Rhinolophus ferrumequinum: one gene and its partners. The protein of the gene in region 4 interacts with the protein of the main gene of each other region in a biochemical or structural test. Links are inferred from orthologs where the notes say so. Each region holds a gene or a part of one and is shown on either strand. Other genes may lie near its edges.

What was found.
Region 1: the proteins of MAP3K7 (region 4) and NOD2 form a complex in vitro, tested with the Homo sapiens proteins (2 studies listed by BioGRID). The link is inferred for Rhinolophus ferrumequinum from reciprocal best matches to the Homo sapiens genes MAP3K7 and NOD2.
Region 2: of the proteins of MAP3K7 (region 4) and USP4, one has a biochemical effect on the other in vitro, tested with the Homo sapiens proteins (2 studies listed by BioGRID). The link is inferred for Rhinolophus ferrumequinum from reciprocal best matches to the Homo sapiens genes MAP3K7 and USP4.
Region 3: of the proteins of MAP3K7 (region 4) and TAB1, one has a biochemical effect on the other in vitro, tested with the Homo sapiens proteins (4 studies listed by BioGRID and IntAct). The link is inferred for Rhinolophus ferrumequinum from reciprocal best matches to the Homo sapiens genes MAP3K7 and TAB1.

Annotation. Positions count from the first base shown.
Region 1 is NC_046298.1:5,222,910-5,229,734, forward strand, and holds the start of NOD2 (nucleotide-binding oligomerization domain-containing protein 2), read left to right. Parts: upstream 1-3,803; 5' UTR 3,804-3,892; intron 3,893-6,698; 5' UTR 6,699-6,820; intron 6,821-6,825. UniProt on the Homo sapiens protein: Pattern recognition receptor (PRR) that detects bacterial peptidoglycan fragments and other danger signals and plays an important role in gastrointestinal immunity.
Region 2 is NC_046300.1:7,021,837-7,028,962, reverse strand, and holds the start of USP4 (ubiquitin carboxyl-terminal hydrolase 4), read right to left. Parts: upstream 3,016-7,126; 5' UTR 2,958-3,015; coding exon 2,857-2,957; intron 1,113-2,856; coding exon 985-1,112; intron 1-984.
Region 3 is NC_046293.1:8,078,014-8,085,778, forward strand, and holds the start of TAB1 (TGF-beta-activated kinase 1 and MAP3K7-binding protein 1), read right to left. Parts: upstream 3,021-7,765; 5' UTR 2,965-3,020; coding exon 2,932-2,964; intron 1-2,931. UniProt on the Homo sapiens protein: Key adapter protein that plays an essential role in JNK and NF-kappa-B activation and proinflammatory cytokines production in response to stimulation with TLRs and cytokines.
Region 4 is NC_046286.1:47,046,553-47,054,088, reverse strand, and holds the start of MAP3K7 (mitogen-activated protein kinase kinase kinase 7), read left to right. Parts: upstream 1-4,533; 5' UTR 4,534-4,702; coding exon 4,703-4,822; intron 4,823-4,920; exon of another isoform or gene 4,921-5,130; intron 5,131-7,536. UniProt on the Homo sapiens protein: Serine/threonine kinase which acts as an essential component of the MAP kinase signal transduction pathway. Plays an important role in the cascades of cellular responses evoked by changes in the environment.

The DNA of each region.
Region 1 (6,825 bases), on a different chromosome or scaffold from region 4:
ATTAATTAAAAGCCTTTCAGTTTGCTTGTCTCATCTGGGGCTGTCATGCACTGCAAGTAGGTCATTGTACATGGTGTGAGGTAGGGGTGCAAAGCTTTATCCCCCCCATGTTTACCTCCTGGTCTTCTTTATTGGAATGGCCGTCCGCTGCTGTGCAGTGTGCCATCACTGTTACAGACAGAACATCCACACACGTCAGGGTCTGTTTAGCTCAAGGGGGTGGGGGGCCCTGAAGCGTGCTGCTGGCCTGCTAGCCGGTGAGCCCCTTGAGTCCAAGGGCCTTGTCTCATTCTTCTGTGGCTGTGCTGCCCTGCAGGTGGCCTGGTGTAGTGAGGGGACATGGGCTCTGTGTGGAGCGAGGCTGGAACGCTGTCTCCCCTCCTTTCTTTGGGGCTCGCCCTGCAGCTTTCCAATTTTCTCCCTCACTCTCTGCCTGGGCCTGGAACCTTCCAGATGCCAGGGGCAGACACAGAGCCCTTTTTGGCAGCCCTCAGAACTTCTGACCCAGCCACCAGCCACCATCGGGGAGAGCGTGTGGAAGCCGCTGCTTCCTGTTCTGGGGCAAGGGACGCTCTTTGGAAAGCCCCGGACACACACGGGTGTCTGGCCTGAGAAGGAAGAACCCAGCTGGAGCAGAGTGACGGGAAGAGGCCATGTTTACGCACCTGCCCACTGCTGGCTTTTCTCTTTAGCACAGAGCTCTAGTAGGACAGGCAAGGCCTCACTGTCATTGTGGGGGGACATAGGAGTGGGCAGCCCCCCACTGTAGTGCTGGAACCACTGTAGATGGTGAAGAGGGGCCACCAAGGCGTCCTGGCGAGACAGGAAAGGAAATGCTGGCATCTCGGAGTGTCGGTGTCTCTTCTGGAATTCAAATGGCCTGGACCCTGCGGTGGCATCTCACTGCATTTGGAGCAAAGTCAGAGCCCCACCTGAGGCTCCCTGGTCTGCTGCTGGCTCCCCTCCTACCTTGTTTGGCACCCCTTCCGGCATCACTTACGCACAGCAGCCATCCAGGCTGCTTTCTGTCCTTAGACGTGCCTCACAGGCTTTGCCCTCGCAGTTCCTTCAGCCAGCAATGCCCTTCCCATGGTTCCTTCCACGGCTGACTTTTCTCATCCCCAGGGTGCAGTTTGGTTGTCTGACTCTTGAATGGCCTTCCCCGACCCGCTCTGTCAAGTCCTATCCTTGTTGTGTTTGTTTACTTGTTTATTGCAGTTCTCAAAACCGTGACGGCAGAGACTTTGTCTGTGTCAGCACTCTGCCCCCAGCACCTACTGCAGCCGTATGGTGGGTGCTCATTCATTGCTGTGTGAATGAACGAATGAATGAGTGAGTGAGTGGGGCATGCAGAGAGTGGTGATGGGGGCTGTGGCTCCAGCTCAGCCCTGACGCACTGTGTGTCCTAGACAGGCCACCACCCCTCTCTGAATTTCAATTTCCCTAACTGTAACATGAGATAAAACTAAGGATCCCCCTCACGCCATTGGGCAAGTAACCAAACCCCATGAACTACCACTGACTACTGCTCCGGGCCTCGGACGGGCTTAGGACTCCAAAACCAACACGCTATTTTTGGTCAGTTTGACAAGAATTAATCACTCACAGGTGTGCCTCCACAACGGTGCAAAGAAAACCCAAACCGGTGAGGTGTTTGTAGGAGACACAAAATCCAGCCAAGTCCATCTTACTTTTCTACCATTGAGAGTCCACACACAAGCCTTTTAAAAGTCTCAAAGGTTCTTCTACCATATGGTCCAGCAATTCCACTTCTAGGTATTTATCTAAAGAAAACGAAAACACTAACTTGAAAAGATATCATGTTCTTTTGGGTGAGAGACTGACACCAAAGACAATAAATAAGTAAATATCTAGTATGTTGTGTGCAGATAAGTGTTACGGAGAAAAATAATTAAGCAGGGAGAGGGGTGCAGGGGAGGGGGTTGCAATTAGACAGGGAATGGTCAGGGAAGGCCTCCTTGAGAAAGTCACATTTCAGCAAAGACCTGAAAGGAGGGAAGGAGGGAGCCATGGAGGTGTCTAGAGGAAGAGCATTCCAGGCAGAGGGAACAGCAGATGCAAAGGCCCAGAGGTGGTGGCAGGTCTGCCCTACTCCAGGAGCAGCCAGGAGGCCAGTGGGCTCGAGCAGACAGTGCACAACGGAGCGAGTGAGGACGGGCCCCGAGAGGGTGCTGCGTGGAAATAGCAATCGAAAGGATTTTCCTTGGCTTTGGCTCTGAGGTGGGAGTCATCGCAGGGGTTTCAGCAGAGGAGTGACCCATAATTTGACCCTTTTTTACGCAGACTCACTATGGCTGCTGCTGGAATCCTGGAGGACGGCTAGGAGCTCTTGCCAGAACCCAGGTGAGAGATGATGGAGAACGGGACCCAGGTAGTCATGGTGCATCTAGTAAGAAGTGGCTGCGTTCCACGTGTATTTTGAAGATCAAGCTGGAAAACTTACTCCCAGGTTGGATGTGAGGTATGAGAGAGAAGATGAGTGGGCTACGTTTTCCAGTGGCCCTGGCAGTTTTCTTAAGTAACCCGTGATTGTGCATTGAGAAGGTTTCCAGCTTTTCACTGTTATAAAGAAGAGGTGGTGAGCATGCCTGTGGACAGATCTGTACCCCACGTGGAATGATTTCCCTGGGCTAGTTGCAGTCCTTCTAACACAGCATTTCCCAACCCCAGCCCACTGCGTACTACTTGTGTAGGTAATTAGCTGGAGGCAGTGTGGGATGGTGGTTAGAGTATTGCCAGATGCCGGGGGGCAGATCGTGGCACTGGGGTCACTACTCGGACCGATTAACTTTTCTGTGCCTCGGTTTCTTTATCTATACATTGGGGACGATGACAGTCAATATCCCGGAGATTGGATTCACTGAGTTAATGTATGTAAAGCCTGGTCCATAGTAAGCACTATGTGAATGTCCGTTCTTTAAATTGACTTCACATTTAAAAACTACCAAGTGCAAGTGTTTTAAAAGGCACATTGATATTAATACCTTCAATGGAAGGTGTCACTTGCTCAGAAATCATACAATAAATTTAACCGAATGGAAACAAAACAGTGCTGTTAAATTCTGGTTGGATGTTACTCAGAGCCCTGTAGACTAGGCAGGCAGTGTTAGAGAGGCGTGGGAGCCCTGTTTGTATGAAACTGACGCGGCTCTCCTCAACTTAAACAGAACGATCAAAAGAAAAAGAAAAAAAAGAATTACTTTAAATGCCCGGTCTGCTCTCAGCTGACATGTAACCCATAACATTGCGGAAAAGCAGGGCTCTGGGACATCATAATAATCAGGCTTTAGATGACTTTGGGCTTACTGACCCATCAAAGGGTGTGTGGGTTATTCAGGCACCGAGAGCTTTGCTAGCTTTTCATTTCACAGGATGCCTTATGTGTATGGGTGTGTGTGTGTGTATGTGTGTGTGTGAGAGAGAGAGAGAGAGAGAGAGAGAGAGAGAGAGAGAGGGAGAGAGAGAGAGGGAGAGAGAGAGAGAGAGAGAGAGAAGGAGGGAGAGTTGAGAGTTGGGAGGGAGACTTGTCCTGAGAGACTCTCAACGTTCCCTCCAGTTGAAAGGTGGTCCAGAAAGGGGGATACACTTGGCCTGGGTCACACAGCCAGGGCCTTGCAGTCCTACAGGCAGCCCCGCCACTTCCCTGCCAGCTCTCGCTCCCATCTGAGGAGAGCTCCTAGCCGCCCGGGTGCTGCGGGAGGGCTCGCAGGACAGGAGGGACTTGGCTGGCTGGGCAGGTGGGCGGGGCCGAGAGCGGGGGCGGGATCAGGCGGGGACGGATCCCAGCGTAGGAGCCTCCCAGGCCAGGACTTAGCCGTGAGTTTTGCCTCCGACGAGGGTGCGGAGAAATCCGGGCGCCTGCGGCTCCGAGGTGAGTGCTCCAGGGCCCAGCTCGTGAGACAGCAGGCGCCGAGGAGGGTCCCACCCCCGGGACTCCTGGCTTCGGAGCTGTCCTGGCCGGTGGGCAGAGGGAGAGGCTGCCTCGGTTTTCCCTTGGCGGGGTTTCAGGGATCTAGACGGGAGGTAGACAGAAAGAGGGCATCTCGAAGTTAGGGAGCCCCCTGGAGGGCGGTGACTACAGAAGATGAGAAGGCTTGGGGGCGTTTCTGGGCCCCAGGAGCCTTTGAGGTCTGGAGAGAGGCAGTGATTTTCAGGTGGTGGGGAGTGTGGAGGGAGAGTCAGCAGGATGAGAATCCCCGAGGCACAGGGCTGACCTGGGAATGAGGAGGCCAGGCTTCAGGTCTCAGAGGGGCCTGCTCTCCGTGAGTCCCTTCCTCTCTCCGGGCCTCAGTTTCCCAATCTTACCATGCCTGTGAATAGGTGGGTGCAAGTGAGTAAGTGTCTGGATGACCTCTCACCCTTCCTGCAGCCTGTGACTCTTGGATGGCTCAGCCCCATCCCTACCAGACAGGCCCATACCCTCTGTGCCATTGGCCCTCTCCTTTGCTCCTCATGTTGGGGGCCAGCCAACTGGTCCTACTTGCTTCCCAGCACTAAACCGCCCCCCCCCCCCTGCCCCAGTCCCCTCAGAGAGGGCCTCCCACAGCCGGATCCCTGACTCTGTGTTGGCTCTGGTTTCTCACCCACTTCCTGAGCCCTTGGGCTTCTCCCTGCCATGGCCTTGGTCTCCTCATGGGTTATTCCCTGGCCACAGGGTCCTTATTCCACAGAGGGGAATAACCTGCCATGTCACCCGTCCCCTGATCCCTTGGTGAAGACCAGAGTGACATTTCCATCACCTCTGCTCTCCTGCCTCTAAGTTTGTCGGTCACTCAAGTCCCCTTTGCCAATCTGAGGCTGGAAAGGACCCCATCTCACCCACTACCTCCCACCCAGTGCAGGACCCCTCTGCTGTGTATGCTCAGTGATGCTGAACTTGTTACTTACGAGGTGCTGTTCTGTGGCCTGCAGCTCTCATTTCATCTAGCTAACATCTGTGGCTTGCAGATTCCATCCTTTCGTTCCACTTCTGCCTCCTGGAACCATGCAAAGTAAATTCATTCTTTTATTCATTCAAACACTCTTTATCAATGCACTGGGTGAGACACTGGGGATAGAGCAATAAAAAAAGTCCGGCAAAACTCCCTGCCTTCATGGAGTTCCTATTCTAGAGAGGAGTCAGACAGCAGTCAAATAAGTGAATACATGATACGTCAGGTGGTGAGAAATAAAGCAGGTGAGGAGGATGAGCATAGGCAGGCATGTCCTCTCTGAGACGGCGACAACTAAGCAAGGCCTTGAAGGAGTTTGGGGGTGGAGTTTCGGGAATATCTGGGGGGAAGGACAGTGTACCCACATAGGGACAAGCAGAAGGTCCTCAGGCAGAAGCATGACAGGCAGGAGCAGGTATGTCTTGTTCTAGGAACAAGGAGGGGGACAGTGTGGCTGGAGCAGGGTGGGTGAAGAACCAGTGTGGGACGAGTGGGAAAGAAGTACAGAGAGGTAAGGGCTGGGGGGCGGGGTCCGTTGCCTGGGCCGAGGAGGCCGCTGGGAGAGCTTGGTTTTCACTCTGAGTGCCGAGAGAACCACCGAGAGAGCCACCGGAGGGCTTTGAGCAGAGCTGTCACCTGCTCTGACTTAGGGGTTAGCAGGTTCACCTGGTTGTGGGCGGGACAATAGGCTATAGGGGGTGAGAGCAGAAGGGGGACCCGTGAGGGGACCACAGCTGTCATTCTGGGGAGAGGCCGTGAGAGCTTATACCCAGGGCGTAGAGGTGGTGAAATGTCAGATTTTCAGATTTGGGATATATTTTGAAGACCGTAGGGTGGAGAGGATTAGGGATGCAAGAGAAAGGGGGCGTCAAGGGTGACGCGGGTGGTGGGGTGGAGTCTGGCCTGAGCACCTGGAAGTTTGGAGCTGCCATCGACTGAGATGGGAGCTGTTTACGGGAAGATTTGGTTTGGTGCTTGTTAAGCAGGAGATGCCCGTTAGCACCCATGCGAAGACGGCCAGGACGCAGTTGGGAAAAGTTTAGTAGAGAGGTTGGAGCTGGAAATAAAATTTTGGATGATATCACCACATACCTGGCATTTAAAGCTATAAGAGCTGGTGAGTCCACTTAGGGAGAGAGTGATATGGAGAAAAGAAGTCCAACCAGGGAGCTCCGGGGCTCCCAGCATTAGGAACCAACCAAGGAGTCAGAAAGAGCAGCCAGGGAGATGGGAGGAAAAGTTGGAGAGTTGGGGTGTCCTGGAGGCAATGAGGAAGGTGCTTCAAGGAGGAGGGGGGCAATGAGGACAGATGCCTTTGACAGAGCAAGCAAGCTGAGGGCTGACAGTCAAGCCATGCAGAGGTCACTGGTAACTGTGACAAAAGCAATTGGGGATTAGGGAAGACAGGATTGGCAGGGCGGGGAGGAGAGGCGTTGGGGACAGCAGTACAGACAACAGACAAGGAGTCCTGCGGTGAAGGGGCAGAGAAATGGGATTGGAGCCAGAGGGAAGTGGGTGTGGAGGGAGGGCTTTACTTTTGGGGTGAAGTTACAGTCTGTTTGCGTGCTGGTGGGAAACTCTTTTAGAGAGAAGCTTGGTGAAGGGGGCCAGAATAGAGGATGGCTGCAGGGCTGGGGGGGGGTGGGGGTTGGATCCAGTGCCCCAGGGGAAGCTTGGGCCCAGCCGAGAGCCAGTGCAGTTCAGAAGCTGGGGATCCCAGGGCCTCCCTCCCTCTTCTGTCTGCAGGGGCCCAGCAGGCTGAGATTTCAACTGAAGCCTGAGCATCCGTCAGCTGCCCCAGATTCAGTGCAGTGTGTTCGGGAAGGGCCCTGCTTACTCAAAGCTCATCCTGGTGGATGAGCTCATTGGTAGG
Region 2 (7,126 bases), on a different chromosome or scaffold from region 4:
GAATGCTTACCCTTAGCTGAAGGTCATACAAAATGACTTTCGAGGGCCCCTCAAGCTCTAGGATTCTCATCACTATTACTATTAAAAGCCTTAAGATTTCTCTTTTCCAAAGAGAGGACAAAGAGCAAACGTTTTGCAATGATCCCTTGAGGCAACTTCATGGCATAATGCCACCATCTGACCTACTTCAGGAAACATAGCATATGACTGTTGATTGCGTCATTTAGACTCCCCAAAAACGAAGTCTGAGCTGAAGTACTACTCATTTTTAAAAGCACGCAGGTTAGTGTTAGGTACTTGGATCAAGCTTCATGCATTATCTGCCGTCCTGCTGCCCTGATTTTGGTCACAGAAGACAGATCACCTCTGTCCTGCTTGCAAGGGAGTCTAAAGCCAGGCAGAACAGACTAGGAAAGGCTGACTGTCATCTCTGTGCATCTACAGGTGCAAGCTAAGCTCAAGTGTGTCATGCATCACTTTTTCAATCACTTCTTCCACTGGGAGCTGATTGTGATAACTCTACTGACCCTCTATCTTTCCTCGTACTATTTCTATGACAAACACAGCCATCACAGAAATGTCTGAAGAATATCGACAGATCTACAATTTGTCCCACTGCAAAGGTAACCAAGAAAATTCTGGTTCCCAAATTTCAGATTCCAGATCAATTTCAAAATATCCTATTTCTTTCCATCCCATATACTAATCTAAAATCTCTGGCAGAATTTGCAAAAGGAGAGAGAGAGAGAAAGAAATTTAAAATGTTACAAGCATGCTCTTGTTAGAAGTTAGTTTAGGAAAAAGGCAGGTTCACTTCTCCAAGACTCTACAAAGACTTCTGCTACAGACATAAGTCAAGGACACTTGTTTCCGTCCCCTCACAGGAGGAAAGTCAAGTTCACAATGTCCATGTTACACATAATTATGACCTGAGGCCACTACCATGGTTGACATTTCGGATAGAAAAGGAACAGAATACTGCACCTGAAAAGAGTCCGGAGTTATCTATTGGGCCAGGAAACAGGTTGTGTTCACCCACATTGTACATATCCCAGCTGTCGAAGCCCACATACTTCTTCCACTGTTTGAACCACCGGCTGTCAATAAGATACCTAGAGATAGACAAAAATTTACTGTACCAGAAAAGCTGAGATAGTAAGTTTCTGCAGCTGCTCCCCTAATTTCTTTATGGTCTTTCCACTTAGGGAACAAGCAATCCCCACTAAAAAACATTCTCAAGACAGAAGCAGGGCCAGCCCCATATGGCACAAAGAGCCAATGGATACTTCTGAAAGTATCCAGTAAGTGAAACGATTATTGAAAAATGAATAAATGAAAGGAAGGAAATGACTGGCTTCAAAATATTTATTTAAAGCAAGTCTTTCTACTGTGAAAATCTTGTTTGCTAAGGACCAAGTCACTAATGTCATAATGATCTTTACAGAGGTCCTTCTCCAGGTAGACAATTTGGTTACACTGCTTTGCTTGACATGAATAACATTAAACTAATTTTCTTTCTGAAAATGGGATAATAACATCACACACTTCAGCATTCCTTTGAGGACCAAACAAAATGTCAAAAAAATGTGTGTACATATGTATATATGTGTACATACAGACATACATGTATACACACATGTACATACATACACATGTAATGTGTAAGTACAATTATATTGTCAAAAAGCAAGTTGATCTGGTTGTATTTTTTAAGTATTACTATGCTGTTTTACAATTAAGACAGAAGGAGGGGAAAACCTCCATTGGGGAAACAAAGCACAATTATATTGGTGAGTCTTTCAAATTTTATAACCAACAAACCTCAGAGATAGGCAGCTTCTCAGGGGTCACAAGGATCCATAAATCCAAATCTCTAAATGCTCTTTTCCCTCCAAACCCCTTGAACAATACCCTCTAAACACGCTAAGAGTGTGATTTTAGTCTCTCAAGTGTCCTCTGCCCCTGCGTGCCCTGCCTGTCACAGCTTGGCTCGCTCAAGAACAGTGTAAAGTCTTATATGAGTTCCTCCTAATCCCAATGTCTCTCTTCCCTGCTCATTCCTGGCACTGTAAGTGGCATTATCAACACCACCATGGTTTCTTAAAGAGGGAAGCTCAATCATTCTTTGTAATAAAGCCAAGGTCCAGTTTTCTACACCCACACAATAATACCACCCAGGAATCTCTTTACCAGTGGAAGTACTGTCCCTTTCACTAAACAATTTATTATGAAACTTCTTGTCTCAGACTTGATCTTCTAAAGCCCAGTCTTTTCATCTTTTTTTTTACCTAGGCTATGAAATGCTGCTGCCACAATTATTTTTGACATTTGCTACCAAAATAACCTGGGGCTCTCAAACATTTGTTCAGCTTCTGACCTTGACATCTGTTCTGCTGTTTACAAGTTACAAAGTGTCTACTTCTGATACGCCTCAACCCACTGAAGGGGAGTATGTAGTGTCAAATACTGCTACCACGGTTTTAAGAGTAAGGAACTGGGGTCTATGAGGTGTGGACGCCTTTGCCCAAGGTCACACATCGAATGCCCGAAGGCAAAGGGCTCTCCCCATCCTGAAGGTCCCGGTGAGCACTCCAGTCCCTATCCTGCAGCTCTTTCCCCCGCCGGGTCCGCCCACTGGGGTTCCGAAAGGGCTGAGACGACTCTCAACTCCGCCCACGCTTTCCCAGAAGTGACCTCAGGGTCCCTTTCCTAAGGGGCCGAGGTCAGGCCACTCTTCTCAGAGTCACTACATCGCCCCCGCCCGGCCCCTACCCAAGCCGAGAAAAAGGGGCCGGCCTGAGCGCCAGAGCCCCGGCCCCTGGCCCTGCGCGGCGGAAAGGTGGGCCGGGCGCTCACCACTGCGCCCCCCGTTGGAGCGTGGTCCTCATCAAAGCCCCTAGCTCCGATTTCTGGGTCTCAGCATCCGGTCGTTCACCGCAGCCTCCACCTTCCGCCATCTCGTCCGCAGCCCAGGCTCAGCCGGTCCGGACATCCGCCTCGCGCACAGCGTGTGTGGGCCACGCCCACTCACGCACGCACGTACGTGCGCGCGCCCAAAGCCCCACCTGGCGCAGCGGCCTTGAGCGCGGCCCGCCTGTGCGTTCTCTCCCGCCCCCACCCACCGCCCTCTCCCACGGGTGCGCCGTGAAGCAAAGCAGGGAGGGGGCCGGAAGAGCAGGCGGGCGCCGGGGAAGGAGCGGCCACTTCCTCCCGCTCCGAGGGGTGTCGGGCACTCCTTTCTCTGTACAGCCCCGCGGTCTCAAGGAGTCAGAATGCAGGACCCACGACCCCTCTCCTCTGATGGAGGAAGTCATTGAAAGGACGTGATGACCGGTTGACCCGCGAGCTCGACTCGGGCAATCGGAGGCTCCTCTCCCCCTTCCCCTGTCCTTGGAGTGAGCGTTCTGCTTGGCTCCAGGTGCTAGAAACTGCCCAAGGACGCAGTTTTGAGATAGTAATGTGGTGCCGAGAACTTCTGGAAGGTCTTCGTGACTGAGTAGTTAAGGCCTCTGTACAAACTTTAAGATTCTGGTGGTCAAGTAGCTCTACTTTTGCGCGCCCAAGACAAGCCCTATGTAAGTTACCCTGCTTATTAAACCTGCCACCTACCAATCTGGAGTGGCCTCCCTCTTCCGCTCTCCAAGTCTTCTGTGTTAGGGCCAGTTTCAGATTCTATCCGGAAGCTCCCTGGAGGCTTGCGGGGTTATCCTGGTCTTAAATGCACTGCTAGAGACTGGAAGCCTTGGAACTGGATTTTCTTGTGTTCACTCCTGCCATTCCACTTTCAGCAGAAGGCTTGAGCGCGTCCTTAGCTGCCCAGAAATAAGATGGGGATTACTGTCCCGGAGGATATCAGATGTGCCCGGTGCACCATCGCATATACTGGAAGGTGTGGTCTGATCATTAACAATCGTTTCAAATAGTCTGGATGCCAGAATCACCTGGCCCACGGCAGAATTCCACAAGCGCTCCACGCTGAGCTACTTGCCTTGCCAGAGGGACAAACAGCCACAGAGGGGTGATAGCAAGGTGGGAAGGGGAGAGGTCTGGGTGTGTTCTCCACCTTAGGTGCCCAGGCTTATTAATTTGTTGCTGCAACAAGTACAATATCCTGAATACTGTATCTTTTCCACTCAACCCTGTGCACAAAAACAGCCCTCTCCCTGGAGGGGACGGAAGCCCAGAACAAGGAGAAAGCCAGACAGTTGGTCTACATGACTCTCCATTCACTTGTCTCTCAGTTTCTATCCTCAGAGAAAAAAATAAGACTCAATACCTGCCTGTGTACAATCTAATAGAGAAGAAATCTACAAATACCCCTGCACCAAGCAGAGTGTGGTAAATGCCATTAACAGGTATGAACCAGACTGTAGACCCTGAGCTCTGAAAGGGAGCCTTTGACTTGAGTAGCATTTGAGTGAGGTCTTGAAGAAAGCATAGAAATGATGGTGTGTGTTACAGGAGGGGAGACTAGAGAGGTCAGAGAGAATTTCTGGAAAAAGCAGGGTAGGATCAAATAGTGAGGATTAGGCCAGTTGAGCTGGGCACAGACTACTGAAAGAGACTGAGATCTAAAGCTTTCTAGATCTACATGTCCTGCCTTGCATGGTCCACAGTTACTGTAAGAGGTTTTGGAGCAGAGACCAAATGGCTTAGGGTGCTTTACACACACACAGTGGTGCAGCCCAAAGACCTACTAGGGACCTTGCCCTGAAGAGGGGGTTATGAGAGAGGAGAGGAGACTCAGATGAGCCATGTGATGGAAGAGGGAGAGCTGGCCTGGTGAAAATGGTTGGTCATCTGAACAGATTTACTATTTCTATGTTGGGTTACGGCTAATTGAAATTAATTTATACTCCCTGGGACATCCATCACACACCATCTGGTAACACAGGCCTCTTGGTAATTGGGTAGATAGCAGGGGAAAGTAAATTTGGAATTAAAATTGCCTTCAATAATCACATAGCAATTAATCCCCTGCAGATAAGAGTTACCACTGGTGACTCTGGGTGGTGAACACACAGTGTGATTTATGGATGATGTGATACAGAATTGCACAACTGAAATCTATGTAATTCTACTAACAATTGTCACCCCAATAAATTAAAAATAAATTAAAAAAAAAAAAAAAAAGTTACCACTGGTGATAATTCAACAGCTGGGGAGCCAGGCCTGACAACCCGAGTGCCCTTTTTTGAAAGTTATTTGAAATTGTTAAAATGTTAACAAACAAGAAACACTACCTTTAGTCCTGTTATTTATGGAAAAAGAAAGTTGGGTTAGTGACATTACTTCAGAACCTACTTTAGAGAGTGTCTGCTTCCCTCTTCTTTTTTTAGCAGTTTCCCCTGTACCATTTATGGCATGGGTCACAGTCTTAAGGAAGTAGGACGAGTCCTCAGCACGACTAGAAAGAAGGACAAAACCTAATTATAAAAATGAAAACTTTGGAAAATCTTTTTAAACCTGGATTTCTTCAGTGCTATTAAATAGCAATAAAAATAGTACACTAATTATGGGTATTTCCTAAAATTTAAGACTGCAAAGTGCCAGTAGTTAAAATGTGAGGAACAAAGTGAAACATCATAGTCAGAAGATCATTATTTCCAATGTTTAAAACTTTTGTTAGTTTGATTAAAACGTTAAAAACTGAGAACAATGAGCATCTGCCATTTGTTCCACCTATTGTGGGAGTGACCTGTGGATTAAGAAGGAAGTGAGTTGGGGCTGGCCCGGTGGCTCAGGCGGTTGGAGCTCCATGCTCCTATAACTCCGAAGGCTGTCAGTTTGGCTCAGTTGGTTGGAGCGCGTCCTCTCAACCACAAGGTTGCCGGTTCGACTCCCGCAATGGATGGTGGGCTGTGCCCCCTGCAACTAGCAACAGCAACTGGACCTGGAGCTGAGCTGCGCCCTCCACAACTAAGATTGAAAGGACAACAACTTGACTTGTAAAAAAAGTCCTGAAAGTACACACTGATAAAGTCCTGTTCCCCTTCCCCAATAAAATCTTTAAAAAAAAAAAAAGGAAGTGTGATTCAGGCCAGGAGACACCCTGGCCCCAGGGCTATATTCCCCTTTAGGCCATTTGCTTGGGAGAGGTGTAGAGGTGTAGGCCTAGTAGGGCACTCATTTGGCCCCACAACCAGACCCCAGAACTAAACAACCCACCTGTTGCCATGGGAACTTGGGCCACAAGAACCAGGAGGAAAGCAGGAAGAGAGCTAGAGGGGAGAGGCTTGGCTGATTGGTCATGAACTGCTTGATGTTGGACTGTGGTGATCTACTTGAGGGTTTGTAATGTCTGGGCATGTGAACTTGAAGCTTTATTTGGTGCCAAATCATAAAGTTCTCGTGTGGGCTGGTACTGTGGCTTGCTCTATACCTAACTGGCATTGGCCCTCCAAAGTCACCCCTGGTCCACACTTAGCCAGCAATTACAGAGCACATGTGGCAGTGAGTGGGCACCTTTTGGTTAGAGGTGACACAAATATTGGGCACCTTTTGATTAGAGGTGGGCACCTTTTGATTAGAGGAGGGAAGTATTTTTGTTTCCTTCTTGCCTGTGCTTCCTTAACCTGCCCAGGGGACTGTGGAAAAGTTGAAAATCTCTAGTATATTTTAGAAGAACTAAAGGTCTGACCGGTAACATTATAACCTCTGTTATATAAGGGTTAGGTTATTGGGGAAGGTGACAGAGGCAAAAACCTGAAAGAATCTCATAGAGAGGAAGTGGGATCACCTTTCCTACCTTGGAGACTCGTGCAGTTGGATACATTCCATTCTGGTTATGCCACTGTCTATGGCCACTGTCTGACTGGGCAGGGAGGGGGGCGTGGCACCCTAGGCCCAGGTGTGGCCAGTGTCTTCTTTTTCTCCTAATTCTATTACCATCAGTGTCTTAACCATAAACAAATATTTAGATGTTAATTGTGTGTGTTTGCCCTTTGCACAGAGCAAATTCTCAGTAAACGTTTCTTGGATAAATGAATGAAAAAATTGTCCAGATGCTAGTCATTTTTTCGTTTGACCAATAATATGTTATGTGCTTACAATCTCTACCCTCCAGGGGTTCACAGGCAGTGTGGTTGGGGAAGATATTTTCACATGTAATTACATCTATAGGAAC
Region 3 (7,765 bases), on a different chromosome or scaffold from region 4:
GCTCACATCCGGACAAGCGTGAGTGCCACTCAGAAGGTTCCAGGCTTCTACTCTTGCCACGCAAGCGCTTTTCCACGAAGGGCTTTCTCCGATCACAAATCAGATCACATCAGGCCTCTACTCAAAACCAGCCGAGAGGCTCACATCGCACTCAGAACGGAATCCACATGGCGCCCTCGGACCTGGGTGACACGCACTTCTTCCCAGCAATCCACTCCAGCCACACGGGTCCCCTCCATGCTTCCTAAGGCAGGCCTTAGCATCCCTGTTCCCTCGGGCAGGAACACTCCCTCCCGAACCCCACTGCACCGCATCAAACGTTGGGGTCTTCCCCTGCCATGCGGCCTGAAATGGCTCCTCGACCACTGTGTGTGCCGACGATTCCCCACCGCACCACCTGACGTGATGTGATAATCATCACATAGCATCTGTATTTCTGCATTGTTTACTCCTGTCTCCCTTCCTAGAGTGAGGGTCGTGTCCCCTGAACCTTCCCGGCACCTGCCACACAGTGAGTGCTCAGTGCCATTTGACATTTGAGAGAATGAACCATAGGTAGCAGAACTGAAGGTGGAACTTCACAACTGGAGTGTGACCGTGCCAGGCTAGGAGCGTGGCATGTCAGTTCATTTACTACTAACAACACTTCTGGAAGTCTTCTCGGTTGGGGAAACCAAGGTTCAGGAATGTTGCGTGACTTACCCAAGGCCATACAAGCAAGATTCATACTCTGTTTTATCTGGCTGCAAAGGGCCTAGGTTCTTTTGAACACATCAAACTATCTTCAAAAGCTCTTCTTTTCTTCAAAAGATCTTTTAAAGTACCACACTGCCTGGGGACGAAAGTTGCAACTTCTCAGGATGTCATCCCACGAAGCGCGCTGCCCGCTGGCCCCAGCACTCCCTTCCAGCACCACGTCAGCGAGTCCCAGCGCTTCCTGCAAGCCTCCACTGGCCCAGTCAAAGCGAGCCATCCACAGCCCCTCTACGCACTGCCACCAGAGGCCTCACACATTGTGTTAGCGGTATGTGGCTCCTCCTCCCAAGCTCAACTGCAAATGGAGCAAGAGTGTGTACATGCCTTATTCACTTTCACATCCCCAGGTCCAGTAACCACAGACTAGCAGTCCTCAAAGCCATCTGCTGAATGAGTGTCTGCGCTGCTCTCCCCAGACTCAGAACAGCACAGGGCAGGACAGCAAGCCCCACACACTGACACCCTCTGAGCAGAAATGTCCTGAGCATCATTAGGGTGGGAGGGGCCTTGTGTAGACATCCGTCATCCCTTTGCTTTCGTCAAGATGCTACATGCTTAAAGCTAACTAACCTGTATTTCAAAGATTCCCCCACCACCCAGGAACACATTCTGGAGCTAGTAAAGCTCACCTTCTGTCTAACCCAAGTTCCTTGGGCTCCATCGCACCTACAGGGGAGGGAAGCTGGCAGCCAGTCTCCAAGCCAAGCTAGCCGACAGCAGTTATCACTTTTATCATTTGCCACACATTGCAGCCAGTGTTTCTGGAATGTTTACAATGGGGACATTTACACAGGGGCCCTGACGTCTGGGAGCTTACAAAGCAAGAGGCCAGGTCTACCTAACCAACCCAATGACAAGGCCGACCTATCAAGTAGTTAAATAAAGGGGGGCAGCCAAAGGTGTAGGAAGAGAGCTACTCCCTCCCTCCCACTGGGAGTTGCTGTCCTGGAAGAGCAATTTCAGAGTCTACACAAAGCCTGTCATTCATACGCAGCAGTGAAGGTCATCCCACACACACACATTCTGTTGCTTCAAGACCCTCAAGGGCAGGACGGCCACTGTTGAGCACTAGACCTGGCTACAAATGCTTTCCTCATTATTTTACAAATATTTACTGAATGCCTGGCACCTAGTGGTGGTAGGTGCTGATGGCACTATTCATTGTACAGGTAGATCACAAGTCCCTGTCTTAAAGGACTTCACCTTCCAGTACAGGAGGCAGACATGTCCACAGGCAATTACAACAGACTGTGTCTGTTGTGTGCCTGCTGTGTCTGGGGAGGACCCATGGGACCGGCACCCAATCCTGGCAGGTCAGAATAGGCCCACGGTGCCAACGTGTGTGCATCTATGTACATGTGTCAGGAGGACCCAGGGGCTGGAAGACATCAGCTACCAGCCCATGAGAGTCCAGACTGGGAGTCGGGGTGGGTCTCATGACAATCCTCCCACTGCCTGCGCTCACCTTACAGATAAGGAAATGGAGGCAGAGGCGGATGGAGGCATAGTGAGATACAGCCAGGACCAGAAGCCAGGCTGCCTGACTGCGGTCATTCCTTTGGTATAGGTTACAGGTTAAGAGGGTTTCTGGAATGACTGCCTGATTTTCATTCTGCCTCTGCCACTTACCAGCTCTGTGGCCTTGGGCAAATGACACCGCTCTGTGCCTCAGTTTCCTCATCTGTAAAACAGGAATCACAGTACCTATCTCATAACGCTGTTAGGAAAATGAAACTTACAATGTAAAGCCACTGGCACAAAGCCTGGGATAAAAGTGGCTGAGGCCGCTACGATTATCATCCCACGACTGCCTGCTCAGTGCCGGGTGGGCTCACCACCCTTGCTCCCTCCGCTGCCGCGAGGCCATACTCCCTTCTGGCTCCAAAATGCTTCCACCCTCGACGCGCCCTGGACGCTACAGGGGACTCCAGGACCGGAATCCGAGCCCCCGACGGCCGGGCACACCGCGCTCCTGCGCAGGGCTCGCGGGGCCGCGCGCGCCCAGACCTAGGGAACGAGGGGGGCCGGCCCTGGAGAGGGGAGGGCGGCGGTCACATCCCGCCAGGGACAGGTAGGCGGCCCACGGCAAAGTGGCAGCGGCGCCTGCACCCGACAGGCCTCCCCGCTCCCTCCCGGTTCCCAAACCCCAGCCCGGAGAGCGGGTCTCTTCCTCACACTCTGTAGCAGGCTCCTCCTCTGCGCCGCCATCTTGAAGGGACCCGGCGGGCGCGCCCGCCTCCCGGCAGAGCAGACGAGAAGGGCGGCTAGAGCGGCCTGATGCCGGCCCGGAGGCCGGCGCTACCGGGGAGCAGGCGCCCAGCGCCACCCCATGGCCGAGTGGGATGGGGCCGCACCGGGGCGTGGACGCGGTCGCGCTCTTCCACCTTTTTCTCTAGTGGGAGATAAAGGGAAGGCTTCCGTAGGTTTGCCCCTCGCCCATTTTTATTTGCACACTTTCCCCAGGATGCCTTTCAGGTGAGGCTCCCAAACCCGGGGTTAGGTTCTGCAGGAACACGATGGGGAAGGCGGAAGGTGGGTTATTCGTTCACGCAACACATATTCATTGGGTGACCGTGCCTGGGCCTTTAGGGGTGAAGCAGCAAGCAAAACAGGCCTTCAAAAAGCTAACGTTTTAATTGGGGAGGACGTTTATATACATACGTCTTTCACGTGGTGATACTGGGTTTTCTGGAAAATAAGACCTACCCTGAAAATAAGCCCCAGTTAGGATCAGCCAGACGGCCGCATTTTGGTACGTTATGATGATGTTCCAGAAGAAAATGACATGACTGTACTTGAATAAATGTAGATTGTGGTACGTGAAAAAATAAGACATCCCCTGAAAATACGCCCTAATGCGTCTTTTGGAGCAAAAATTAATCTGAGACCCGGTCTTATTTTCGGGGAAACACGGTAAATGCTAGGAAGAGAAGTTTATGGATGAAGCATGGTAGTGCAGTGTTAACTGGTAACAGGGAAGGGAAGGGCCAGCGAGTGCAGGAAGCCTGAGGGAAGGGAGCATGTGGGTTCAAGAAGCACGCGTGTTACAGAAGGCTGATGTGGTTGGAAAAAAGATGGAGGGGGAGTGAGATGAAGGGCGCGTAGGGCAGACTCTGACCTTGTGAGCCCCAGGCAGGAGTTGGGCTATTCACCTGGAGGACAAAGGGAAGCTGTGCACATCCCAGCAAGTCACTGACACGATCTCAGGTAGAAAGATCCCTGTGACTACTGTGTACAAAACAGATTTTTAAGGGGATTGGAGTGGAGACAGGAAGACCGATTAGGGGACTGTTGTACTAGTTCTAGGTGAGAGATGATAGTGGTTTGATTTGGCTGATGGCAGTGAGTGGACTTTATTTAGGAGATGAAATCTGCGATGCTGGAGCAAGGATTGGTTGTGGGTGGTGATGTGTCAACGATTCTTCCAGATTTCTGGCAAGAACGGCTAGGTTTGGGAGAGGGAGAAGGTAATGACCAGGAGTTCAGTCTGGCCGTGTTGAGTTTGAGGGCTTTTGAAACATTCAAGAAAAGAAATCAAGTCAGTCTTTAGATGGAGAAGGCTGGAGCTCAGAGCAGAGGCTAAACTGGCAAAGATGACAGAATGAGCAGCTGGAAAGGCAAGGGGAGCAGAGGCAGCACAACCCAAGGTGAGGAGTGTCTAAGGAGGGCTGGGGCAACAATGTGAGATGCTTTTGAGAGGTCTAGTTAGAAGGTAACTCTCTGGAGAAAGTCTATTAGATGTAGCCATCTTTAATTGCGCAGGCAGTTCAGGTAGAATGGTAGGACCAAACTCCATTTGCAGTGAATTGAAGAATAGCTGGGAAATGGAGACCTTGAGAATAGGCGGACTTCCCAATTGGTGGACTGGGAAGAGGAAGAGAAGGGAACGTGGGGTTGAGAGAGGGTTTTTCCTGTTAGGCTGGGGAAACTTGAGCCTGTTTAAATGCCAAAGGAAAGGTTTAATAGAGAAGAGCTGATGATTTAGAAGGGGGAAGTGGGTGTCAGTCTAGGATGGTGACTCACCATCTTGCTCTCCTCTCAACACAGCTCCACATGACTCAAGATGACTGCTTGAGCTCCAGCCATTTGTCTGAGTTCAGCCAGCTGGAAGGCAAGAGGAAGATAGGAAGATGATACCTCTTTCTTTCTTTCTTTCTTCTTTCTTTCTTTCTTTCTTGTTTCTTTCTTTGTTTCTTTCTTTCTTTCTTCTTTCTTTCTTTCTTTTCTTTCTTTCTTTCTTCTTTCTTTGTTTCTTTCTTTCTTTGTTTCTTTCTTTCTTTGTTTCTTTCTTTCTTTGTTTCTTTGTTCTTTCTTTCTTTCTTTGTTCTTTCTTTCTTTCTTTCTTTATTTGTTTCTTTCTTTCTTTCTTTGTTTCTTTCTTTCTTTCTTTGTTCTTTCTTCTTCTTTCTTTCTTTCTTTCTTCTTTCTTTCTTTCTTTCTTTCTTTCTTCTTCTTTCTTTCTTTCTTTCTTTCTTTCTTTCTTTCTTTTTACATTATTAATAACAAAATTTACTCGCAGGCAATCTCCCTTCCCTTTTAAGGGACCTCAGAGGTTCCGCATGATGCTTCCCCTACATCTCTTTGGCTGTCACTTAACTCATGCCACATGGAGCTAAAAGAGAGGTGAGGAAATGTAAGCTTTGGACTGAGCTACAATGTGCCCAAGTACAGTTCCTGTACTAAAGAAGGATTGGATAACGGACACCAGGAGGCTATGAGCAGTCTTCTCTGCCAGGAAGGGGTTTGGGAGGGGCCAGGTGGTTTTTCCTGTTGAAGAAGAGTCTGGAAAGAATCAGGATTTGGAGCCCAACCCACTCCATTCTAATCGCTGCCCCATATCCTGTCACCTGTGTGACCCTGAATAAGTCACCTCCCCTGTCTGAGCCTCAGGACCCTTCTTATAATGGGAGTAAGGCTACCTGGCCGAATGACTGCGAGGATTAGATGAGGTGCCATGGAAAGACCTGGCTTGTGGTAGGCCCTGATTACAATTTAATGTTTTTAAAGATAATAAACACACATTGAGCACCTACTGTATGCCAAAGCACTTGCTGGATGCTTTCTCATCATACACTTATTCATTCTCACACCTGCCTTGTGAGATAAAGATTGTAGTCATCTTTAGTTTATAATGTAGGAAACTCCAGTTCAGCAAGTTACCCAATAAATAAATGTCGGGATTTGAACCTAGGTCTTCTGACTCTGTGATGTGATGTAATAAGAAATACATATTTTGGACTGGGTCCCACAGTCCTGGCACAGAGCTTCTTTTTTTTTCTTTCCCCTTTCTTCTGCCTCCCCCCACCCCCCCCCAATTCCAGTTCAAGCCGTTGTTTCTTAGTCTAGTTGTGTAGGACACAGCTCCCTGGCTCATGCTGGTATTATGAGCCTTGTGCTCCCCGGCTGAGGCAGTCGGTTTGCTGGTCATCGGTCGGCCGCTCACAGCAGCTCTCGCCGGCTGCCGGCCACTCACGCTGGCTGGCGGCAGCACACAGCAGCACTCAGCAGCTCCTGACAACCTCCGGCTGCTCACAGCAGCCCAGCTCCAGGAAGACGCGTTGTTCAACCAATCTTAGCTATAGAGGGCGCAGCTCACTGGCCCATGTGGGAATCAAACCGGCAACCTCAGCATTAGGAGACAGCGCTCCAACCACCTGAGCCACCAGGCTGGTCCCCACAGAGCTTCTAAAAGGGTTTTGAAATTTCCCTGAGTGATAGAGATGGTAGGAGCATCATTTGTTACTGATAACAAGCACTTTCAACTATCTTGCAGGTTTATGTAATGAGATGACAGGTGGCTGGAAGCCCCTGGATGACTTTAGGCTGGAGCTGGTTGCCAGAGCAACCACCCACGTGATTAGAGGTTTGGAGCTTTGAGCCCTGCCACTCCCATCTCAGGAGGGGAGAGGAGCTAAGAATTGAGTAAGCACTAGCGGCCAGTGATTTAAGCAACCGTCCTATGTAATGGAACCTCCATAAAAATCCTAAAGGAAGGAGTTTGGAGAACTTCTGCGTTGGTGAACCCACATCTGCGTGCTGGGAGTGTGGCACAACCCAACTCCAGGGGGACCAGAAACTCCTGCACGCTGTGGACCTTTCCAGATCTTACCCTATCACCTCTTCACTTGTATCCTTTGTTAATAACTCGGCAACAGCAAGTCACGTGTTTCCCTGAGTTCTTGAGCTGTCATAGCATTTTATGGAATTTGAGGAGGGGGTCATGGGAACCTCCGATTTGTAGCCAAATTGGACATTAGTGTAGATAACCTGAGGACCCACTACTTGGGACTCATGTCTGAGGAGGGGGCAGTCTGTGGGAATCCACCCTTAACCTGTGGGGTCTGTACTAACTCTGGGTAGTTAGTGTTAGACTGACTTAGATTACAGGACACCCAGTTGGTGTCTGCAGAGAGCTGGAGAATTGCTTACTGTGGGAAACCCACACATCTGACGTCAGAAGTGTTCTGCTGTTGTAGGTAAAAACCCCTCGGTCGAAGACTCCAGGGCCTTTCCCTGCAACCCTGTGAGAGAAGCAGACCCTCCAAGGCCCTTCACAGCTCAGCCTCACTGTAATTGCTGGAAGTTTTCCACACAACCACACTGTTTCCGGCCTCCATCTTTGTACCTGTTGTTCCCACATTTGACTACCTGGTGGACTTTTATTCAATTGTCCAGGCTCTTAGCAAATGAAAGCCCCTCCTCAGAAATTTCTCTTGATTCCCACCCTAAGGATACTCCCTCGGTCATTTTCGATCATGGAAAACTCTAGTTATTGGTTGCAGTGACCTTCCAGAGGGCAAGAACTCTGGCCGTTCAGCTCTGGGTCTCCTCACAGGCTCCAGGAAAGCTGCTCAGCAAATGTGTGTTCGCAAATTGGTTGAAGAGTCCGGGGGACAGGCAGTCCCAAGGTCTCCAAGTGTCTTAGAGGAGAACTGGGACTATAACTTGGGGCTTCCAGGCCCCCCAACCCTCTTCCATACCTCAGCCCCTAAACAGTACACTATGGCAA
Region 4 (7,536 bases):
GAGCTGAGACCTATAAGGTGTGACCAAACAATATGGTGAATCTTTAAATTAAAAAAATTACTACAGTAAAAGACACATTGCCATTAATACCCCTCAAAATACTCTCCCTCGTTTTGAACACACTTAATACCTTGTTCTTGCCACTTTCTGAAGCGGTTCTGGAAGTCCTCTTTCGTGAGTGTCTTTAGCTGCGCTGTCGTGGCTGCCTCCATGTCCTGAATCTGGGGAAGAGTCAGAAGTCCCATGGTGCCAGATCTGGTGAATAAGGTAGATGAGGACACACCATAATGTTTTTATTTGACAGAAATTGCCATATACCAGAAGCATGTGTTATGTGGAGCACTGTCATGATTTATGGCACACTTTAAAACACATCTTCTCTCAACCGTAGCTCACACCCGCCTGACTGCACTGAACAAGTTGAAACTTGTCACACACTGTTACTAAGGTTCGATGTGCTGCTTCCCATATCAAAGATCCCTGCCTTTGCATCACATGGCACTCGGCAGCAGCATTCATTGTATTTTGTGATCACAACAGAAAGGCTCTGTGTCACACATCGCTTGAGGTATGTCAATTTCCGCCAAATAAAAACATTACAGTATGTCCTCATCCACCTTATTCACCAGATTTGGCACCATGCAACCTCCGGTTCTTCCCCAAAGTCAAAATGACCATGAATTGTAAATGTTTTGAATTGATTCAGGATATTGAGGCTGCCATGACAGCACAACTAGACACAAAAGAGGACTTCCAGAACTGCTTTTGAAAGTGGCAAGAACGAAGGGATAAGTGTGTTTGAAGAGAGGGAGAGTATTTTGAGGGGGATTAATGGCAATGTGTCTCTTACTGTAATAGGTTTCTTTAAACATTCACTGATTTTCTAATCACATTTCGTAAGTGTTAAGATAGAGACAACTACAGGAAATCGCAAATCAAAGTTGGGAACACCCTACCTGTAGACCACTAGTACATAGGAATAGAAATCTAACATGCAAAAAACATGCCTCTCCTAGCCTTTTATGGGGCCCAGGGGAAAAATATAAATGGAGGTTCACATATTCTATGTCTAAATATTCATAAGTTCTAACTCAAGATAACCAACTTATAAAAGAAATACATTCTATCTTCCTACCTTGACAATACTAACTTCACTAGAATGCAGTGATGTGATCAAAACTTGCCTTCAGCTCCTGACTTATCCCCCATCTCCTCCTACTCTGGACTCAGTTCTATACTGCAAGGAACCTTACACACCCACATGTGGACACCCTGACCTACCCATCTGAGCCCACTCACACTCCCTCCCCACAAAGAGATACCCATTGGCTAGCCCTCAAGACCCAAATTCATTGGTCACTTTTGAGTTTTTCTCATGTTTAACTTCTTGGAAGAATTCAACACTGAAAAACCTTTGTATCTTGGTTTCCACTCATCATAATTTTGTTTTCCACAAATTTCTTTGGCAGTTCCTCTACCCATGCCTTAAAATTTTTATTTCTTAAATCTGTTTTAAGTCCTACTCTTTTTCACTTCTGTAGGTGATCTCATTCATTTCCATGAATTAAATTATTATCAGCAGGCCAATACTGTTACATAAGACCGGGTCTTATATTAATCTTTGCTCCAAAACACGTAGTAGAGCTGATTGTCCGGCTAGGTCTTATTTTCGGGGAAACACGGGAAAACGGCAGAAAACTATTTCAGAACTTCCTGGAAATAATATTTGATCAGGTTGGCTAGTCTGGTTCTGAGACAGGGAGTAAAGACAGCACTTTTTAGGTATAGAGCAGACCTCTGAATAATAAACATATGTTGGTTGCATATCCAGCAACCATTCCCTGCTTTGTGCCTCTTAAATCTTCAGATTTTTCTCCTAATTAGCAGCTGCTCCTCTTCCAAGCCCCTGCTTTAGTGAGTTCTGGATCTAAGCTAAACAAGATATTTGCCTCAAACCTCCTGTCCTCCATTCCTCACTCAAGGGTACAGTTGCCAAAGTCTTTTAAAAAAGAAAGTTCCCTGCTCTTCTCAGATAACTAGCTACTAAAAGAGGTGCTTCCTGTCATTGTACTGAAAAGTGTGATGTCATATGAAAAATTAAACTGCTAGAGCATGCATTCTCAGTGGGGGTAAAATCGCCTCCAAGGGGTGAACATTGGGGAGAAAAAAATCTTACTCTTTTTATGTATAAAGCAGAAATATGTACACAGTACATAAACAGATATACAGTATTATCTGTGGTATTAAAGCTTTGGGGGGCATTAGAAATAGCCTTAAAAGACTCCTTAGGGGGCAATGATATTTTAAAAGGTTGAGAACTACTGTTTTAGAGCAATGACAAATACCACAAAAGGCAGAAAGCAATCATGGAAACTCATTATTGATACTATTATTAACTTTAGAAATCAAATGACACCTGAAGCCTGTTCTAGCTCTTGACTTTCCACTTAACTAAGCCAATTAATCCCCTTTATTGTTGAAGCCATTTCTCACTTGGACAACTGAGTAGATGATGGGATCCTTCATAAAGGATCCCAAATGCACACAGAAGAACAAATCTGTGGTGGGTGATAACTTCTAAATTTGCTTTTGCAAGTTTGAAAGGTGTTTAGGTTTCTATTTATCATCTAAATAGAGATGTCCAATAGGTCCAGAATTCAAGAAAAATTTGAGCACTGGGAGAGATTGGGAGTCATCATAAAAGTGGTATAGGAAGTCAAGGCCTGGAGTAAAATTATCCAAAGAGTGTGGAATAAGAAATTATTCCTTCATTCTTTTATCCATTCACCAAACTATCGAGTGTTACTGGAACTACAAATAAAACATGACAATGTTTTCCACAGGAGTTCCTGTCTTCTTGATTGCCAAATCCAATACCCTATTTGCAGTCCCAAATGTGTTTAACTTACGTCTATACAGCATTTATTTGGCTGCCTTTTTCTTAATTGGAAAGCTCTCCTCCAGTGATATTCAGGTCACCGTTCCCGTTTGCCCCTTTCTGTTCCTTTTCAGTCTCTTACCGAGACTTAAAATTTGACATTCACAGGGTTTCATCCTTGGTCTGAAACCTTCATCTCTAACTCCAATTATCCTAGTTAACTTCAACTCAAATTGACTAAATAAACAGCTAGTTCAAAACTAAAATTTGTGTTGATAGTACAACACAGGCAATACTTTCCGCCTTGGAGATACACTGACCTAAGTTCTACAAGCTTGTGAGGATCATAATTGTTTTTGACAAGGAGAAAATTCTGCAATGTTCTAAATTACAGCGTAGGGAGAGTGAGACAGAACTGTTAGTCTGTTGATGGCTGCTCGCCAGCTAACAAAAGACTGCTCACAATCTTTGTACTGCCTATTGAAACTTTATACTAATTTCCAGGTGGTTATTACTACAGGTGATTTTAACCAGGCACCATCCAACTCCAGGAGCTCCACTTGTTTACATGTGGGCTTTCTCCACTGGTGCCCACAGCCAATCTACAGAAACGGACATTTTTTATGGGGACCCTGCGCCTATCTCACCTCCCACCCTTTTCCTACAGCTAATGTAAATTCTTTAAGACTACCTTTCTTGTCCCTTCCCCCTACTTGATGTATAAAAACGCTTGCAAAACTCTGGGAGGATGGACATGCTCTCTTTTCTATCTAGCCATGCTTCTGGTGGTTTAGACTCCATGCTCCAAGACCCGTCTTCTTTCTGGCTTAGCACTTTGGCTCAATAAAACTTTATCTTAAAAAAAAAAAAGAAAAAGAAAAAAAACTTCAGTTATGGAAGTTATCACTCCGTATGTATTATTAATATTAATGCAACCCATAACTTCATATGAACATAACAAATTATGTCAAACTATTTATTTCTACCTTATCTAATATTAACTTCTGTTCTTGAGAACTCAGCCTACATACTGTTATCCAGATTATATGCGCTGGCTCGCTCTGTATTATTTTCGTGAGACTCTCTCCGAGTCAGAGACTGACTCAAAGTAACAGTAGCAACTGTTTCCTTCCATAAACCACACTGAGGGAAACACCTTTTCCAAGGCTTCTTAAAGAACTAGTTCAGCTTAGCTTAGGGGTGAAATTAAAATGGTTCATCACATAAACTCAGTCCAACACTACCCCGGCCGTCTGCAGGTCTCTGCGAGAAAAGGGACCAGGGCCATAACATACTTCACCAAGTAGAGGTGAAACCATAGCTTTTATCTTTCCCGCTGGTTCCTAAAGGACCAACCGCACAGACATTCCATCGTGCTCCGCGCTACTTCCGTTCGCGCATTTGATTTACGTCAGAGCGTCAGCTCTCGCGGTATCATCCGATTGCTGAGGCCCTTTAACAAAGATCTCGCGAAATTTGGTCTACAGATCTAAGCTAGCCTCTTACCCTCCCCCGCCCCACCCCCAAAACTGTCCTTCCTTTCTCAGTCTCAGTTAAAAAAATTCTCACTTCCCCTCCCTCGAGCTCGCTACCCTCCTCCTGTTTCCGATTTCAGGCCGGAACCGGAAGCTTAGTGGGCGGGGCCCGGCGGCGGAAAACGCAGCGGAGCCGGAGCGGGGACTCCGCTGTGGCCGCTGCCCCTGTCCCTTCCACGGATCGCCGTGGCTCCAGGCTGAAAGTCGGTCAGGAGGCGGGTGGGCGCGGGTCTCCCCCGGAGTGTCCGGGCGGCAGCTTCCCCGGGCCCCCCGGGCTCCGCGAGGGATCATGTCTACAGCTTCCGCCGCTTCCTCCTCCTCATCGTCTTCGGCCGGTGACATGATCGAAGCCCCCTCCCAAGTCCTCAACTTTGAAGAGATCGACTACAAGGAGATCGAAGTGGAAGAGGTGAGCGAGGCCCGGCACGGAGGCGCCGGCCCCGGCCGCTCCCACCTCTACCTGTTGTCGACTCTTAAGGCGCCTCCGCGGCCCCTCTGATTCACGGAGCCCCTCGGGGTTCACCGGGGAGTCCCAATATCCCCACAGAGACCGGGTGTAGAGCGGACTCTCCGCGTTCAACTGCTCGGGGGTAGCTCTATTTTTCCCTCACTTCGGCACTCTTGAGTTTGGATTTGACACTCCGGTGCCTGGATTTGGGTCATCTCAAACAGGAGGATGAACTGGTGAGACAGTGTGGTCCACCAGTTCTCTCATCTGTAAGTAGTAAATTCATCCAAGCCCGTGGCCGTTTTGGAGTTTCGATTCACTAAGACATGGTGTTCTTAAGGGCCAAGGATTGTACTTTATATTCGACATTAGCTCTGCCTGGCACGTAGTGGGTGTTCAGTAAATGCTTGGTAAATTAATACATCATTATATCTAACAGTTTCCCCGAGGATCGAATGGTTTGTTTCGCCGATTCCCTAGGAGCAGTAGGGAATGTTGTGTTCTGCCTTCAGCTGGACTAAGTCAGATGAATTTCAACAATAGTAATATACACTGGTGTGCGATGAAAAGATGTTTCAAGTATCGTATTCTGAGGCGATAACTAATGATTTCGGTGACAACTAGAATATAACACCAGACCACAAAATCGCTGTTAGAAAACCCGAATCTATACTTTATTTTGCAGTAGTTTAAGGGTAATAACATGTGCCTGTAATACATTGCTGCTTTTCAAATTCAGAGGAGTAAATTGGTTCTAAGGACCATAACATACAGAAAAGCAAAAATTGTATATATTTTAAAGACACACTTTGCAAAGTGTTAAACCTTTGGTTGAAAATAGTATCTATCAGTTACCATTTACTTATCAGTTTTAGAATTTATTAAGTACTTTGTATTACGTATTCCACGAAGAACCCTGTATGTCCTATATTACAGACTTTTGGTTATCTCTATTTTAAAAATCCAAAATTATTTTTAGGTAGTGACAAGCTAAAAGATAATTATCACTTAACAAATAAGTTTCTTTTCTATGAATGTTTTGGAAGAAGAATAGGTTACTTAATCATATTTTTTTATTCCATAAAGAAACCTTAGAGATCACCGAGAACAACCTTATTTTACAAGGTAGTTTAAATGGGAAGAACGAGGCCTTTTGGAGTTAGAGGAAGGTCCAGTATATTAGCTATGCCACTTAATAGTTGTGTGATTTGGAGCAAGTTTCCTAACTAATCCCTTGGAGCTTTAGTTTCCTTAACTGTAAAATAGGGGTAATTTCTATTTCATTTTACCTGTATAACAGATGCTATTAGGCAACATATGCATTACACCCAACACAGTGCCTGACACATATTACTAGGAAACAGTTCCAGAGTACAACAGTGACCTGCTTTAAGGTCACATAGCTAAAAGAAGGACCTGTGGTTTGGAAAAAGGGGGGGATTTTTGTGTGTGGATATGTTTGTTTTGTTTTTTTCTATTGAGGCTAAGATAAATTCCTTTTTCAGAAGTGGATAGTTTATCCAACTTTCATGGCTAACATTCTTTCTTTTTTAAGAATAAAAATTCAGTGAGTCTTTCTTTTTTAAGAATAAAAATTCAGTGAGTCAGTATAAAAGAATTGCAGTTTTTAAATAAGCATTTACGTCTACTCTGTGGTGAACTGTCATGCTTGTAGACTACAAATTGTTATATAATAATAACTTGTACTTCATGGTCTACCAAATGCTTTCACTGAGTTACATCATTTGATCCCTACAACATTAGGTTCTGCACACTACTTTCTAAAGCATTTTACATTCTCGCTTCTTGGAGGAATGAAAGTTATTAAAAGGAGACAGTAACTTTTTGCTGCTCTTCCCCCAAAGCCATTTAACTTCTAACTAGGTTTTTATATTTCCAAAGACCTTTCAGTTTAAATAATGTTTCAACCTTTCTTTGGTATACTTAGGACATTTCTGAGATGTAGTTTTTTGTTTTTAAATGAAAATTTCTAATATTAGGCAATCATTTAGGGTTTTTTTTTTTAAATACCCAGTTTATTTGCCCTTTAAAGATTATATTTGGATGTTTCTGATGTTGCAGCCATTACATAATTTTCATCAGATTTCTTCATTTGCATACCTTAAAATTGTGGTATATGATCCAGAGTGCACCATGGGTACTCAGTAACTATTTCTCAACTTAGATTCTGCTTCTAGGTTAAAATCATTAATAAGAGAACAGAAAAAGACCAGAAACAGAAAGTATTTTACATTGCTTTTAATATTTTGTATAAGTATAGCCTATAAATAAAGAAAATCATATTCCAAATTTGTGAAATAACATTGTAATTGAATCCGTATACTGATTCATTTTGAAACTATGTAAGAAAAATACTCCAACCACAGACCAAATATACAGTCATTTGTTTAGTTGATGCATATGTTTAAGGCATCAGCTGATTTAAATGCTTACATCCCTAATAGTGTGCCTCTATAATCAGTGTGGCATTTCCTAAATTCAGTTCTGATATCAAATTATGAAAGGTCTCAGCCTTGGAAATCTACATAGATACTTTTTGTTTTAAGTCATTTAGTTTTTACCATTCTGGATCTGAGTGTAGAGAATGTTAGAGTAATTTCTCTGAGGTATGTACATTTTGGGAACTAGCTTGCAAGAAGAGGTAAAAGTGGTGT